2 linked regions of the Stegostoma tigrinum genome follow. The protein of the gene in region 2 interacts with the protein of the main gene of each other region in a pairwise test. Links are inferred from orthologs where the notes say so. Each region holds a gene or a part of one and is shown on either strand. Other genes may lie near its edges.

Region 1 (7,794 bases), on a different chromosome or scaffold from region 2:
TATGAGGAAGTTCAGCTATGATTGTAGAGGTTGGGACTGTTCATTTGGACAGAAAGCAGTGAGGGGTTTTCAGAATCATGAGCAGGTTGGACAGAAAAGATAAGGAGAAAGTATTTCTGCTTGCAAAAGAAACAAGAACAAGGGGCTTAGATTTAAAGGGACATGCAACAAAGCAAGGATGATGCAAAATCAAAACTTGTTCACACAGCAAGTTGTTAGGGTATGGACTGCACTGCCTAGAATGTGAAAGAGGGAGGTTCAGTTGAGGCATTCAAGAGGACATTGGATCATAATGGAGTGCAGAGATATGGAGATAAAGCAATAGATAACTCAGCCAGACTAGATATTAGAGCTGGTGTAAACATGGTGAATTGATGGCCTCTTGAGGTTCTGTGATTATCAGATGTAGGAGAGACACAAGTTTCTCGTCAAAAACACATGTCCTGCAACTTTCTGGAGTCAGATGTGTTCTGGCATGGCCAGGGAAAAAGAATCATTGGAACAGGCTTTACAGATGGTGGTGGATTTCAGAAACACTTTGAAAACTGGGAAAAGTACATCAATACAGATAAAGTTATTATTAATTGGGGGTACAGGAGTCCACTTGAAACTCAGAACTGTGTACTGCAATTTTGTAAAAAGTGCAATAGGTGACCAACTATAGAAAGGGATATGGTCATCTCTGGAGTTTAGTCAATAATGCTCTTAAACATTTCTCAAGAAACTTTTAAAATGTGAAATCTTGATCTCTCATCTTATAACAAAGTTTCAGGGGGTGGGAGCGAAGGTGGTTTTAAAATATTGTTGGTCTCAAAAGAAAACTATGATAAAATATTAACACTTTCTCTCTCCATACAGACTGGTGGATGGGTAAGTATGTCCAGCATTTTTTGCTCTAATTGTTCACATTAAATATCAGGAAGACTGAAGCCATTGCTCCTTGGACTCTGCATTGAACTACATTCTTCTTCCAGGAAGCCAAACACTCATAACCTTGGAGTCATATTTAAATGCAAAGATGAGGTGCCAGAACCTTTTTGCTTTACAAGATCACCAATGTGCAGTACTGTAACTTCATTTTGTTCCAGCTCAGGCAATAATCAAAACCGTACCATTTTGTTCCCTCCAAACTTGATTAATCTAACATACGTCATGCTGGCTTCCCATTTCTCACCTTCATTAAGCTTGGGAGCATTCAGATCCTTACACAAATCCTAGCACCTGTTATCTCTGTACTCTTTAACACACACATGTGGAATATAAAATTTACATTCTTGTTTCAAATCTCTCCATGGTCTCTCCCTCCCTTTGTCTTTAATTTCCTGCAGCCCAACTGCAGGTACCCGTGCTCATATTCATTTCAGATTTGTCTGTATTCCTATTTTTTAAAATACCACACAATTGAGGACTGTGCCTTCCATTATATTGGCTTCTATCATGCTCTACCTTTCCTATTGCCTTCAACATGTAACTACATTCTGCTTCAGCATTCAAGATTTGGTTTATCTGCCCAAATATCACCACTGGGGCTTCTGTATTTGATTTTGTTGGCCAGAGTGCCTCTGAAACCCCAGATGTTTCATATATTAGGGCGGCACGGTGGCTCAGTAGTAGCACTGCAGCCGCACAACACCAGGGACACGGGTTTGATTCCAGCCTCGGGCGACTGTCTGTGCGGAGTTTGCACGTCCGCCCCGTTTCTGTGTGGGTTTCCTCCCACAGTCCAAAGATGTTCAGGCTAGGTGGGTCAGCCATGTTAAATTGTCCATAATGTTCAGGGATATGTGGGTTACAGGGGTATGGGTCTGGGTGGGATGCCTCAAGGGACAGTGTGGGCTTGTTGGGCTGAAGGGTCTGTTTCCACACTGTAGGGAATCTAATCTAAAAGTAACACAATAAAGTATGCAGATGTACTGCAGAAATTCACCAAGATTCATTAGACAGCACCTCCAAACCAACAACCAAACCATCTAGAATAGCAGCAGCAGACATTAGACCATAAGACACAGGAGTGGAAGTAAGGCCATTCGGCCCATCGAGTCCTCTACCATTTAATCATGGCTGATGGGCATTTCAACACCATTTCCCTGCACTCTCCCTGTAGCCCTTGATTCCTTGTGACCACAAATCATTCGGTGTCATTCAGTTACAAAACCTGGAACTCCCTCCCTAATAAGATTGTGGATGCACCTACTGCACGTTGTCTGCAGCAGTTCAAGAAAGCAACTCACCACCACACCTCAGGGGCAATTAGGGCAGTAGATGCCAGCCCAGCCGGTAACACTACATCCCACAAATGAACAAAAATGAAAACAGCACCTCACCTTTAGTGAGCGTATCCAGCACGCCACCTTTTTCTAAGTATCTACGAAATTGCTCTCTGCGGGAATCACCAGCCTGGAGAAAACAAGAGGAATAACGTGTTTATGCCCCTAACAGATATAAAAACTTTTAACAAGCCTACGATAGCTCTTCAACTCCTTCTGTCCGCCATGGACCCTACTGACATTCCAGACGACCATGTGTGCAGGAAGTGCACCTAAGAGAGAAGCACGAGCTCCAGGGTGGTCACAAAGCAGCTCAAGAGACTGGAGGAAAGAACGAAATGGGTGACGACCAGGCAGTCATGGAAAAACAGAGGCGGAGAGTGCAGGACTCCCCAACCCGGGTCCTGCTCACAAATCGGTTTCCCAGTCTGGAAGCTGACGAGGGCACTGGCTCCTCAAGGAAGTGCAAACAGGGCCAAGTTCGGAGCACCAACCAGACTATCCAAGAATACGGCGGGGGATAGAATAAAGCAGAAGCGGCGATGATAGGGGTTTCATTTTGCGGAACAGTCAGGCGTTTCTGTGGCCCTCGGAGATAATTCCAAGATGGTGTATTACCTCCTGAGTGGGAGTCAGTAATGCCACAGAGGCTGTGAGTGAGAAGCTGGAACAATACAGACAACATCGGAGAAGGGGAAGGTCGACACTTCAAACTGAAACCCTTGGTCAGGGCCCCACCACTCCCTTACCCGGTAATGCGCCATATTCTTTCCCTCTCCACTCCAAGGCCCGCACTGCGCCTCTTGTTTCCGGAATTTGTTTCCATGACAACAACCCGCTCCAGCCACCCCACCCCGTAACGCCAAAAGGTCAGCGCGCGAGGAGGCAGCAGCGAATCAATGGCTGAGCTGCCCCGGTGCCGCCTTCTGACGTTACCCCGCCCCCAAACCCTCTCTTGCCCCGCCCCGCCCGGCAAGGTCAAAGATAGAAAAGTAGGAAACAAAGTTGGAAGACACGGCTGAAAACGGCTTCGTACCAAATACAGCAATCGCACAAAAATGTAAAAATACTGTGTTCAAAAGGGAAACCTACATGTATCGCATCTGAAATGTTATAAATAGATAATGATGTAAATGTTATCACTGAGGTGTGGCTTCAGAGTAACAATGGCTGGGAACCAAACATCCAAGGTATATATTCAGAAAGGACAAGCAAAGAAGACAGAGAGTTTTGGTGTTTTGCGCTTAGTAAAATGCGGAATCAGCAGAATAATAAAACGTGAATAAAGAACTGTATCATAGAATCCCTACAGTGTTGAAACAGGCCCTTAGGTCCACCGACCCTCAGAGCATCCCATCCGGACCCATCTACCTACAACCCACCTAATCTATGCATCCCTGAACACTACGGGCAATTTTAGCATGGCGAGTCCTGGCCTGGCAGCATCTGTGAACAGAAATTCTTCAAATGTTCTGAAGAAAGATCACTGGACTTGAAACGTTTGCTGTTTTCTCTTCAAAAAATGCAGCCAGACCTGCTGAGAACCTCAACAATTTCTGTTTTTGTTATTAATGAAGGACAATACCTTGGAAAATATATGTAGAATCGGTCAGAACTAAGAAGCAACAAGGCGCAAAAATATCAGTAGGAGTTGTCTAAAGGCCACTATACAGTGATGCTGAGGTAGGCTGGAGATGGTACTAAACTAAAATTAAAAAATGCACGTAACAAGGTTGCTCCAGTATTCATGGGTACCTTAGAGTGTATGCACACTGGCAAAACCACGTGTGCAATGATAAGATGGCAGAAGAATTCCTACAGTTTAGGAAATGTTGATGTACAAAGGGAAATGGGTGCCTGTGTACACCAGCCGCTGAGAGCAGGCATACATATAGGTACAGCAAGCAGTTAAGAAGGTAAATGGTATGTTAGCCTTTACTGAGGACTTTAAGTACAGGAGAAAGTGCATTTTATCAACATGATATAGAGCAAGTGTGAGATAACACCTGGAGTATTGTGTGCAGTTCTGATCTTGTTAATAAGTAACAAGAGATAACATATACGCTTGCCAGAGGGAGAATTTAAGTAAGGCTCACCAGACAGATTCTTGTGATGGCAACATATTGTTTGAAGAGAGACTCGAGTTCACTAGTCTTCACTGGACCCAAGAAAAATGAGAAGGAATCTAATTGAAATGTACGAAATTCTGAAGGGTTGACCAGAATGGCAACCAAGTGTAGAAAAAGGGGTTCACTGCCTCAGGATAGAATTTTGAACTGAGAGGAGGAGAAATTTCTTTATTCAGACGGTGGGGCCCTTGAGGACCTATTTGTAAGTAGGCTTTGGTGGCCAAGTAATTAAATATACTTGATAAAGAAATAGATTTCTAGACCCTAAATAATATTGAGTATGGGAAGGGAGTGTGTGTATGGTGTCGAGATTGGGATCAGCCTTCATGATATTTAATGATGGCTCAGTTTTTCATCTATTTTCCATGCTTCTATGTTACTGAGCGCCTCTCTTACTAACTTATCAATCTTGTTCCTTATTCAGAGTAATTTATCTTCTTTTTCTTTTAACTGTTGCTTCTTAAAGCTGAAGTTTCCAGTATTGATCACCATGCAGCCATGTCTTTGTAATGGCAATTGCCATTGCCCCAGTTGAAGACAGCATTGAACAAGTCACATCCCAGAACTAAATCTGGCTCGATAGATAATTGGTTTAATTTTTACACTTGGTTACTGTGATGGTAGCTTCATTCATATGAAGTTGCCAATGCTCTTTAAAGAATACAAATGTATCACAAAATTATTATGTCACAGAAGGAGACCATTTGGACCATTGTGCTGTAGTGGCTCTTCAAATGAACATCGTTACCTGGTGTCAATCTCCTTTTTGCCCATACTTTTGCATGCTATTTTGAACCAAATGGTCATACAATTTCCACTGGAATGCCTCAATTAAACCTACCTCCACCTCATTTCCAGGCACTGTGTGTCTCACCCTAAAATAATTCCTCAAATCATTTGTTGCTTCTTTTACACACCACTTCAAATCTATGCCATCTCATTCTTGCAGCTTCTCCCATTCTACTGAATTTAGCCTGGTCATGATTTTGGAAACCGCTATCAAATCTCCACTCAAACTTCTTCTATCCAAGAAAAACAGTGATAATCTCCTCAATCTATTCCTCATAACTGAAATTTGTCATTTCCCAAATATTCTTGTTAATTGCTTCCACACCCTCTACAATGAGTTCACATTCTTCCAAATATGTCACAATACTCCAGCTGTGATCAAACAAGTGCCTTATCCATTTCAACATCATAAGATAAGATATTAGAGCAGAATTAAGTCATTCAGCCCACTGAGTCTCCTCTGCAATTTGATCATAGCTGATTCGCTTCTCAACCATCATTGTCTACAGGAATAGTGCAAGAAGACTGGAGGATAGCAAATGTCCCCTTGTTCAAGAAGGGGAGTAGAGACAATCCTGGTAATTATAGACCAGTGAATCTTACTTCGGTTGTGGGTAAAGTGTCGGAGAGGATTACAAGAGATAGGATTTATAATCATCTAGAAAGGAATAATTTGATTAGGGATAGTCAACACAGTTTTGTGAAGGTTGGTCGTGCCTCACAAACCATTTGAGTTCTTTGAGAAGGTGACCAAACAGGTGGATGAGGGTAAAGCAGTTGATGTGGTGTATATGGATTTTAGTAAAGCGTTTCATAAGGTTCCCCATGATAGGCTATTGCATAAAAAGTGGAGTCGTGGGATTGAGAGTGATTTAGTGGTTTGGATCAGAAATTGGCTAGCTGCAAGAAGACAGAGGGTGGTGGTTAATGGGGAATGTTCGTCCTGGAGTTCAGTTACTACTGGTGTACCGCAAGGATCTGTTTTGGGGCCTCTGCTGTTTGTCATTTTTATAAATGACCTGGATGAGGGCGTAGAAGGATGGGTTAGTAAATTTGCGGATGACGCTAAAGTCAGTGGAGTTGTGGATAGTGCAGAAGGATGTTGCGGGTTACAGTGGGACATAGATAAGCTGCAAATCTGGGCTGAGAGGTGGCAAATGGGGTTTAATGTGGAAAAGTGAGAGATGATTCACTTTGGAAGGAGTGACAGGAATAGAGAGTACTGGACTAATGGTAAGATTTTTGGTAGTGTGGACGAGCAGAGAGACCTTGGGGTCCATGTGCATAGATCCCTGAAAGTTGTCACCCAGGTTGATAGGGTTGTTAAGAAGGCATACGGTATGTTAGGTTTTATTGGTAGAGGGATTGCGTTTCGGAGCCATGAGGTCATGTTGCAGCTGTACAAAATTCTGGTGCAGTCGTACTTGGAGCATTGCGTACAGTTCTGGTTGCTGCATTATAGGAGGGATGTAGAAGCACTGGAAAGGATGCAGAGGAGATTTACCAGAATGTTGCCTGGTATGGATGGAAGGTCTTATGAGGAAAGGTTGAGGGACTTGAGGCTGTTTTTGTTAGAGAGAAGAAGGTTAAGAGGCAACTTAATAGAGACATACAAGATGATCAGAGGATTGGATAGGGTGGACAGTGAGAGTCTTTTTCCTAGGATGATGATGGCTAGCATGACGGGACATAGCTTTAAACTGAGGGGTGATGGATATAGGACAGATGCCAGAGGTAGGTTCTTTACTCAGAGAGTTGTAAGAGCGTGGAATGCCCTGCCTGCAACAGTAGTAGACTCACCAATTTTAAAGGACATTTAAATTGTCATTGGATAAACATATGGATCTTAACGGATAGTGTGGGTTAGATGGGCTTCAGATTAGTTTCACAGGTCGGTGCAACATCGAGGGTCAAAGGGCCTGTACTGCGCTGTAATGTTCTATGTTCTAACCAGATTCTCCTGCCTCCTCCAATAACCCTTTATCTTCTTGCTAATCAAGAACATTCCAATCTATGTCTTACATACATTCAATGATTTGGCCTCCACAGACTTCTGCACCAATGAGTTCCACAAGATTCACCACCCTCTGGCTGAACAAATTACTCCTCATTTCAGTTCTGAAGGGTAGTCCTTTCACTCTAAAGCTGTTCCCTAGTCTCTTACTAATAGAAATATCTTCATGTCCATTCTTTCCAGGCCTCTCAGTATTCTGGGACTTGGAGACAGAAAGGACTGCAGGTGCTGGAGGCTAGAGTCAATAAGTGTGGAGCTAGAAAAGCACAGCAGCTGAGACAACATAAGGCTGTTCTGCTCATCTGATGCTATCTGACCTGCTGTGCTTTTCTACCTCCACATTTATTGATTTTCAATATTCTGTTAAGTTTCAATGAGATCCTCTCTGATCCTTTCAAACTCTGCCGAATACAGAGCTAGAGTTCTCAACTTCTCCTCATATGGCAAGCCCTTCATCCTTGGCTCCATTTTTGTAACCCTCCTCTGAACCTCCTTCAATACCAGCACATCCTTCCTTAAATACAGAACCCAAAACTACTGACAAGATTCCAATGGCAGTCTGACCAGGGTCTTATACATCCGCAGCAGTACGTAT
Region 2 (7,665 bases):
TGAATGATATGGAAAGTTCTCCTTGCTAATGCCTAGTAGTTTGCCCCACATTGGGAGAGCTGTTCCACAAGCTTGTGAAGTTACAGCCTGACTTTGTCAGTTTGGTCTGATTCCATGACTGTGATTATGTTCTAGACATCACCACCACCATCCCTGGGAAGTCCTATCTGATTGGCAAGGCAGACATAGCACCCTTAACATAATGAAACATTACAAATAGTGTCACAGGAATTTTGAAGAACGAAGTATGACACTAAACCTCAAAGGAAGCGTTATGTTGGACAATCAAAAACTCTAAGGGAGTGGGTTTAAAGAGGAAAGCAAGTCAGAAAGGTGAAGGGAATGGAGAGAATTTTAGAGCTTGGGGTTGAGGCAACTGAAGGCACAGTCACTAATAGAACATAGAACATTTCAGCGCAGTACAGGCCCTTCGATTCTCGACGTTGCGCCAACCTGTGAAACCAATCTGAAGCCCATCTAACCTACACAATTCCATTATCATCCAAATGTTTACCAATGACCATTTAATTATCCTTAAAGTTGGCGAGTCTACTATTGTTGCAGGCAGGGCATTCTGTGCCCTTACTACTCTCTGAGTAAAGAACCTGCCTCTGACATCTGTCCTCCATCTATCACTCCTCAATTTAAAGCTATGTCCCCTTGTGCTTGCCACAGTATAGCAATTATGATTGGGAATTGTAGTTGTCGGAGGAGGCTGTTTACAGACTGTTAGCTGAAGTTGTAGCTCATGGAATTGAAGGCTACTTATTGACCTGAGGAAATTGTTACAATTCACCATATTTATGAACAACTTAGAAAGACAAAGAGGAAACTACCTGGGACTTGATGCCTAAGAAAATGGTAGAAGCATAAATAATCAGTTATTTCAAAAGGTCATTGGGTGGGTACTTGATAGAAGTAGACTTGCAGGATTATGGAATGGGACTGACTGAATTGCTCTGCAGAAAGCCAGCAGAGACTTGGTGGGCTGAATGATGTTCTTTGGTGATTCTATGACCATATGCAAATTTGCCAAATCAAAGGTGGGGGGGGGAGGTCTTTGCATGATGGAAATTACAGGAGATATTGATAGATTAAATGAATGAATATAATGAGCTATATTTCAATGGCGTAATGTGTCAGAACCTAAAAAGGATAACTTTTTCTAAATGTAAGAAGCTAGAAATTGCTATATGTACAAAGAGACACGTGGACTTATTTACATAGATTATTATTAAAATATCACAGTGACCTCGCTTTCATCACAAGTCCTCTATGTGTTATCACCTATCAAATATGTCCCTACGTATCGCGGAATGTATGTTTGAATCCTCCCAATCAGGTTATCACCCGTACAAACCAGGTTTTATCAAAGTTACAAATGAAATTCTATGTGACTGACGAGCGTAAACTTTCCCTCTTTGTTCTTCTCAACTAGTTTTCAGCCTTTGACATGATTATCACTCAGCCCTCTTGCAGGAGCTGTCCAAGTTGGGTTTCTTGACCCACGTCACTCCCAGAGAATCTTTACTGCCCAGGGATAGCCCACATTCCTCACAGGAGGCTGGAGGTACTTTGAGGCCCTACGTCCCCAGGGTAGAGTTCGCAGTGCAGGAGCATCCTCCATGTCTCACTGTGGCGAGATGGGGAATAGAACTCTGCCTCCCCCCTCACTCCTACCTGGTGAGCTGCGCAGGGTGGGCTCTCTCCGGGAAACTTTCATTGGAGTCCGTGTCCCCATCATCTGAAATCAAAGCCAGAGGGCTGACAAAGCACAACAGAACAAAGCCAGGTCCGTCTCCGGGTGCAAACCCCAGGCACGGACGCCGTCTCCGGGCAACCGCCCTTCCCGACACTTCCGCCGTCTCCACAGAAACCAGACAACTGCAGACCGTGCACGGTGTGGTCAGAGTGAGCAAGAGGCTTATACTGGGCTATTGCAGAGGGAGAGAGAAGAATTTTAGTCTGGATTATTACAAAGACAATAGGTTGTAATGAGTTATTTACAGGGAGAGCGTTATACTGGGTTATTTCAAAGCAGGAGAGAAAGACGTTAGATTTTGTTAATAGCGACGGATTTGAATGGGCACAGGAGTAGGATCAGACTGGGTTAATAGACTCGGGGAGTGGGGATTAGACTGGGTTATCAGAGAAAGAGAGGAGTTTAGTCTGGATTATTACAGAGAGGAAATTGCCATGGTGCAGAATGAGGCCGTTTGGCCCATCATCTCAGCACTGGTTTTCTAAATGAGCATTATGACTTGGTGCCATTTTTTTCTGCATTATATCTTAGGCCTGAATATTTTTTTTTGAAAAATCATATGCACTTTTGAAAACCTCAATCAATCTGGCTGTCACCACGATTCCAGGCGCGGTGTTTCAGATCTGAACCACTCGCTGTGTGAAAAGGTTTGTCTCCTATCACATTTGCTTCTTTTAGAAATTTCCTTCTCATTTTTGATCATTGTATGAGGGAGCAGTTTGTCCATATGTACTCTGCCAATCCCCCTCAATGAAACCTCCTCTTAGCCTTCTCCTCTCTATGAAAGCAATCCCAACTTCTCCAATCTATCTTCCGCCTTTGAACCATTCCTGTAAGGGTCCAACGCACACTGTCGAATGTTTTTGCATCCTTTCTAAAGTGTGGGAGCCTTGAACTGTGTACAGTGCTCCAGCTGATGTTTTAACTATTATGGTATACAAATTCAGAATAACCTCCTTGCTTTTGTAATCCATGCCTCCATTAATAAAGCCTAAGATAATGTTTGCTTTATTTTACAGCTCACTGAATTTGAATTGAATCATTTATTGTCACGTGTATTCGATATAAAATACATTGAAAAGTGTGTACCATCGCAATACATAGGCGCCATTCACAGCAACTTAGAATAAAATGAAAAGGTAACTTGAAGAGAGTCCAACTTTTCCTTCTCCACGGCTACGGCATGCTGCCGCCAGAATCCTGCTCCGGGCTTCCCAGTCCATGCCTTGCCGTTACCGGGGGCCCACTCCACGTGGAAACGAACGTCCTGCTCCAGGTTTCACAGGCGACTGACCGACTCTGTAGCCGAACTGCCGCTTCGGTACATTGTTGAAGTCGCCTTCCTGTTGGCGGGGGCGGCGGCACTGAGACGAAGAGGACACGCCCAGGCATCGATTACTCTGTGCTGGCTCTTTGTACCTATTTTTCTAATCAGTCCGTACAGAGATATTATTACACATCTCTGGAGCAGGTGAGACTTAAACCTGGCCTTTCTTATTAACCCACGTTTCCGTGTGACTATCAATTATTTCCTTAATAATGATTTCAATTTTTTTTCCATCATAGAAGTCAAGCTGGCTGGTTTAAGATTTCTAGGCTTACTCTTACAATCTGTTTAAGCAAGTAATAGTTGAGAATACAAATAAATGTGTACCGATTACATGAAAAGCCCGAAGGTGTTGAACTGTTTGGATATTTTCTGGATTGAAAAGGGTTTTTGCCATGTGGTTGCTTGGAAAATGGGCCAACCGTTTAATGTGTGCTGTACTTTAGCTGCTTTACAGTCCTTTACAGGAAATCTTCGGATAAAAGACATGCAGAGCCTAGAGGGAGAGAACAGCATGGGGTTTATGACCCTTAATGGCTGAAAAACCTGGCTTTGAAAAAATACATCCCTGTGCTGATGGTTGCCTTAGTAACCCTTTCAGGACTAGAGTTCGGTTTGACCAAGGTTTGACAAGAGGAAGAGATCTGAAGCTACATGGCTCTTTCTCTCGAACCCCCACTCCCGATTCCCCAATTATCTGGGGAATGTGACACTTTCCAAATCTCAAATTGTCTTATAAACCATGAAAAGTTGACCTGACCACTTTCCAAAGACTCTGATCCTGCTTGATTTTATTCCAACCTGAAAACCTTCGATCAGTCTTCGGCTGTCAGCATTTCCATTTTATTGACAATACTTTTTTTATCCTCTTGTTTGTTTCCAGACAGATTTTTAAAATTTTGTTTCTTTTTTAAATACCTCATCTTTGCAGAGTCTGTTATTCTTTGTGTTAGCATGAGTGTTTTTGTTTGGAGAAAGTAGACATGATTTGGAGAACAGGCTGTGCATGCACACAGCTATGCATTTAGGATACAGCCTATCTCACCAGGCTATTGCTATCCTCCTGTAGTTTACCACTGCACTCCTCACTGTTTACTACCTTACCAATTTTCACTTCATCCACAAACTTCTTGATCATATTCTCTACGTGTTAAATCCAAATCATTAATATATACAACAAACAGAAGTGGGTCCATACTGAGCTCTCCAGAACTCCACTGGAAACACATCTCTAGTCACAGAATTGGCATAGAGGTTCAGTGCAAAAGACAAAGGGTTGTTAATGGTAGTGAAAGAAAATGGAGATGTAAATGGGTGTAAATTAAAGGGTGAAAGGGAGAGAATGTAATGAGACCAATTGCTCTAACATATCAGGTTCAGTGTCAGATTGTACTTTATAATACTCCTACAAAGCTTTTTACTTGTTTTATTGTGTTGCAGGTGCTATGTAATTACAGGTTATGATTTAACTGGAATACTCAGTACAAACCAGAAAATGCTGGGAACACTCAAGGTCTGGTAGCATCTACAGAGCGATTAAAAAGAGAGAACTTTCAAAATCATGACTTTTCTTCACATGTCATCAGATACCGTTTGAATAAAGGATGAAGTACAATTGTGAATTTCAGCCAGGATCTTCATGTGACAGAGAGATTGGTACACAGAGATATTCGGTTGCATGGGCAGGAGTCCCATGAGATCATGGAATCCAGAGTACCGATCAGCTCCTTTGCTTTTCATCTCAGGTGCCACACTGCCTCTTTGTGAATCAAACTATCATGCAGCTTGATGGACAATGTGTTGTCATTCTAAACATGTGGAACCATGATACTGTACTTCAAGGGCAGCTTTGGGGTATCCTTTTAGAGTTTTGTGCTCCCCTGGAATGTTTGAGTGTTGAAAGAACATGACTTGCTGGGGAGTTAGTTTTCAGCTATGCAGGCTCTGTGTCTAGGCCATTTTTGTTTGAATTCTTTTTTATCTTCATTCATTGGATGTGGGCATTGCTGGCTAGGCCAGCATTTATTGCACATCATTCATTCTGCTGGATAACTAACTGTCTTCTTGAATCTCTGCAGCCCTTCCAGTTTTGGGACACCAAAATGCTGTTAGGGAGATCCATAATATTTACTCAGTTACAGTGAAAGAATGGTGCTATATTTTGAAGTGAGGATAGTGCGTTGGTTGGCGGCAACTTGCAGCAACTGTTGCTTCCACATATCTGCTACCACTTTTCTAAATCATTGAGTTTATGGTTTTGAAAGGTGCTGTTAAGAGAACCCTTGGTGGACTATGGCAGTGCATCTTGTAGATGGCACACATTACTGCCACTGTTCATCAAGGATGATTTTTGAAGGTGATGGATAGGGTGCCAGACAAATTCAAGGAAAATGCTAAGAATCATTATGAACTCGTTGTAATAATTAACTTGATAAAAGTATTGATTCAATAAATCGTGAGGGCATGAAAATTTGAATGCCCAAGAAACTCCAAAACAATTCTGCAATTGCTGTACAATGGTATCACTGCATCTGTCAAGAACAACCTTCGACCCTGTTTCACATATTCAATAAGGATCGCATACGATTGCCTTCAAAAATCCAGATTTGAGCCCAGCAAGACTGTGTGATAACGCTCTTACGTATAGAATTTATTAGAAAATGGCTGTTCACCAATGGTGTCAAAGATCAACTACTCTGATGTCACTCAGTATTAGATAATACCTAGCTGCAGAACTCTTTAAACTCATTGCCCCCGAACCAAATTGGAATATTCCGCTGGAGCAAATCAAGGATCCCATTCATCCACAAAGCTTCCTCGCAACACCATGCGATGCTGGCAGCCTGTAGATGGTGCTGCTGAGGGAGGTCATATTCCGCCGGGGGAGCAGCCAGTGCTCCCAGACGCCCACCAGCCGGTCCTCGAGGGTCTGATCCAACCGGCGGGAAAACAAACCGAAAATCTGTTTTTGAAAGGAAGACAGTCCACGCGTGGAGGATGGGGGGCGGGGTTATCTGGTAGCCTAACGCGGGGAATCACGTGGTGAATGACATGGGACGATGGGGGACTAACACGTGCCCCGCATTCTGCTCGCTGATTGGGAGGCCGGTGTGAGTGACGGCTCACGCGCCCCACCCATTCCTCCACACTGGGCGTTTGTCCGAGGCGACCCCGGTCTGAAATCTCAGACGCGATCCGTCAAACGGGCCTGGTCAGTAAGTCGGTGGCGGCTGACTCCTGGGAGGAACAGGCTGTGGTTTTTGAAAGTTGTCTGGCTTTCATTTGCTGAGGTGCGAGGTCACATCTGAGTCTAACATTTCCTGCTAATATTTCCTCATTAGCTTGGATTGGCCGACCTGTCCCGGCTGTAACTTTTGCCCAAAACAAATCTCTGATTTCACATTTTAATCGGTAGGCAGCGAAGGAGGGAAGTTTTGTCTTCCATGTTCTAATAACAACTTGCATTTGTGTCGTGCTTGTATCATCGACAAACATCTTGGAGCGGCTTCACGGAGATACTCGGATGTTAACTGGTCAGATGAGACGTTAAGAAGGGGTGGTCAGCAGTTTGGACAGAGGTTAGTTTATAGGAAGGTTTTATAAACAATAGAAAACGAAGTCATAACGATAAATTGATGGGAAGAAGAGGGGGAGGAAGGAATGATTTGGTGGAGGTTACAACAATAGGATGACACCATGAAGGGCTTAATAAATCAATCCAAGGCTTTGAGAAGCGCGATGTCCAGAGTGGGAAGGAAACTGCGTAGTAGATACCTGGCTGAGTTGAGTTTACAGTGAGGTTAACCAGTGAAGCATAGTCATAGTTAAGGGGCTTAACGTAAATGAAGACTCGGGATTGTTTTAGGGGGAGGAGTGTGCCCTGATGTTACTGGTGCAGAGGTCAGAAGGTCCTTGGATGGAGAGGAAGCACAATCCAAGTTGCAGGAAAGATGAAAAGGATATGCGGTGAATGAAGACAATGTGGTCAAAGACTTAGGTTCTTTTTGCAAAGGGGTGGTAAATAATGTAGCAGTCTCAAATTACATTTTTGAGGGACATTTTGGTTCTGTGATAAGGGGGAAAAACCTGATGGAGAACAATCAATAGGTTTGATGTAGTGGACTGGTTGGAGAATTTAGGGAATGTATGGTGGAGATGGGCATGAGTTCAGTAGGTAACAATAATCAAGAAATGTTACAATATCAGGCATCATGTGGGATCCAAATGGGATTTTGAATGATCTACAGATTAGTTGGAATGGGTTCAAGGAAGTCCCATGGATGAGCTTGTAAAGGGAAAACTGGCAGACAGGAGAGGAATTAGAGAAAACTAGAAGGCTAGGGCAGAGGAATCTAGAGTAGGCTTTGCGTAGAGAAGCAATTGAATGAATGTTCTTAATAATAGAGCTAAAGGCCGACTCTCATTTAGGAATGGATAAATCAGTTTATGGACATGGCTGGTAGTGGAGAAGAGAAACTGAAAACTATTGTTGATCTCCAAGATAACCCAAATAGAGCATGTAAAAATAGTTTAATTGCTTTGCTAGATAGACATTTCACATTTTAATTAGGAACTG

Evidence for each region.
Region 1: the proteins of mycbpap (region 2) and c-Myc-binding protein interact in binary tests that used the Homo sapiens proteins (3 or more experiments, as listed by UniProt). The link is inferred for Stegostoma tigrinum from reciprocal best matches to the Homo sapiens genes MYCBPAP and MYCBP.

The regions. Positions count from the first base shown.
Region 1 is NC_081379.1:51,254,608-51,262,401, forward strand, and holds the start of c-Myc-binding protein, read right to left. Parts: upstream 3,123-7,794; 5' UTR 3,032-3,122; coding exon 3,017-3,031; intron 2,398-3,016; coding exon 2,325-2,397; intron 1-2,324. UniProt on the Homo sapiens protein: May control the transcriptional activity of MYC. Stimulates the activation of E box-dependent transcription by MYC.
Region 2 is NC_081375.1:37,388,538-37,396,202, forward strand, and holds the start of mycbpap (MYCBP-associated protein), read right to left. Parts: upstream 3,226-7,665; 5' UTR 2,852-3,225; intron 1,935-2,851; 5' UTR 1,745-1,934; coding exon 1,681-1,744; intron 1-1,680. UniProt on the Homo sapiens protein: May play a role in spermatogenesis. May be involved in synaptic processes.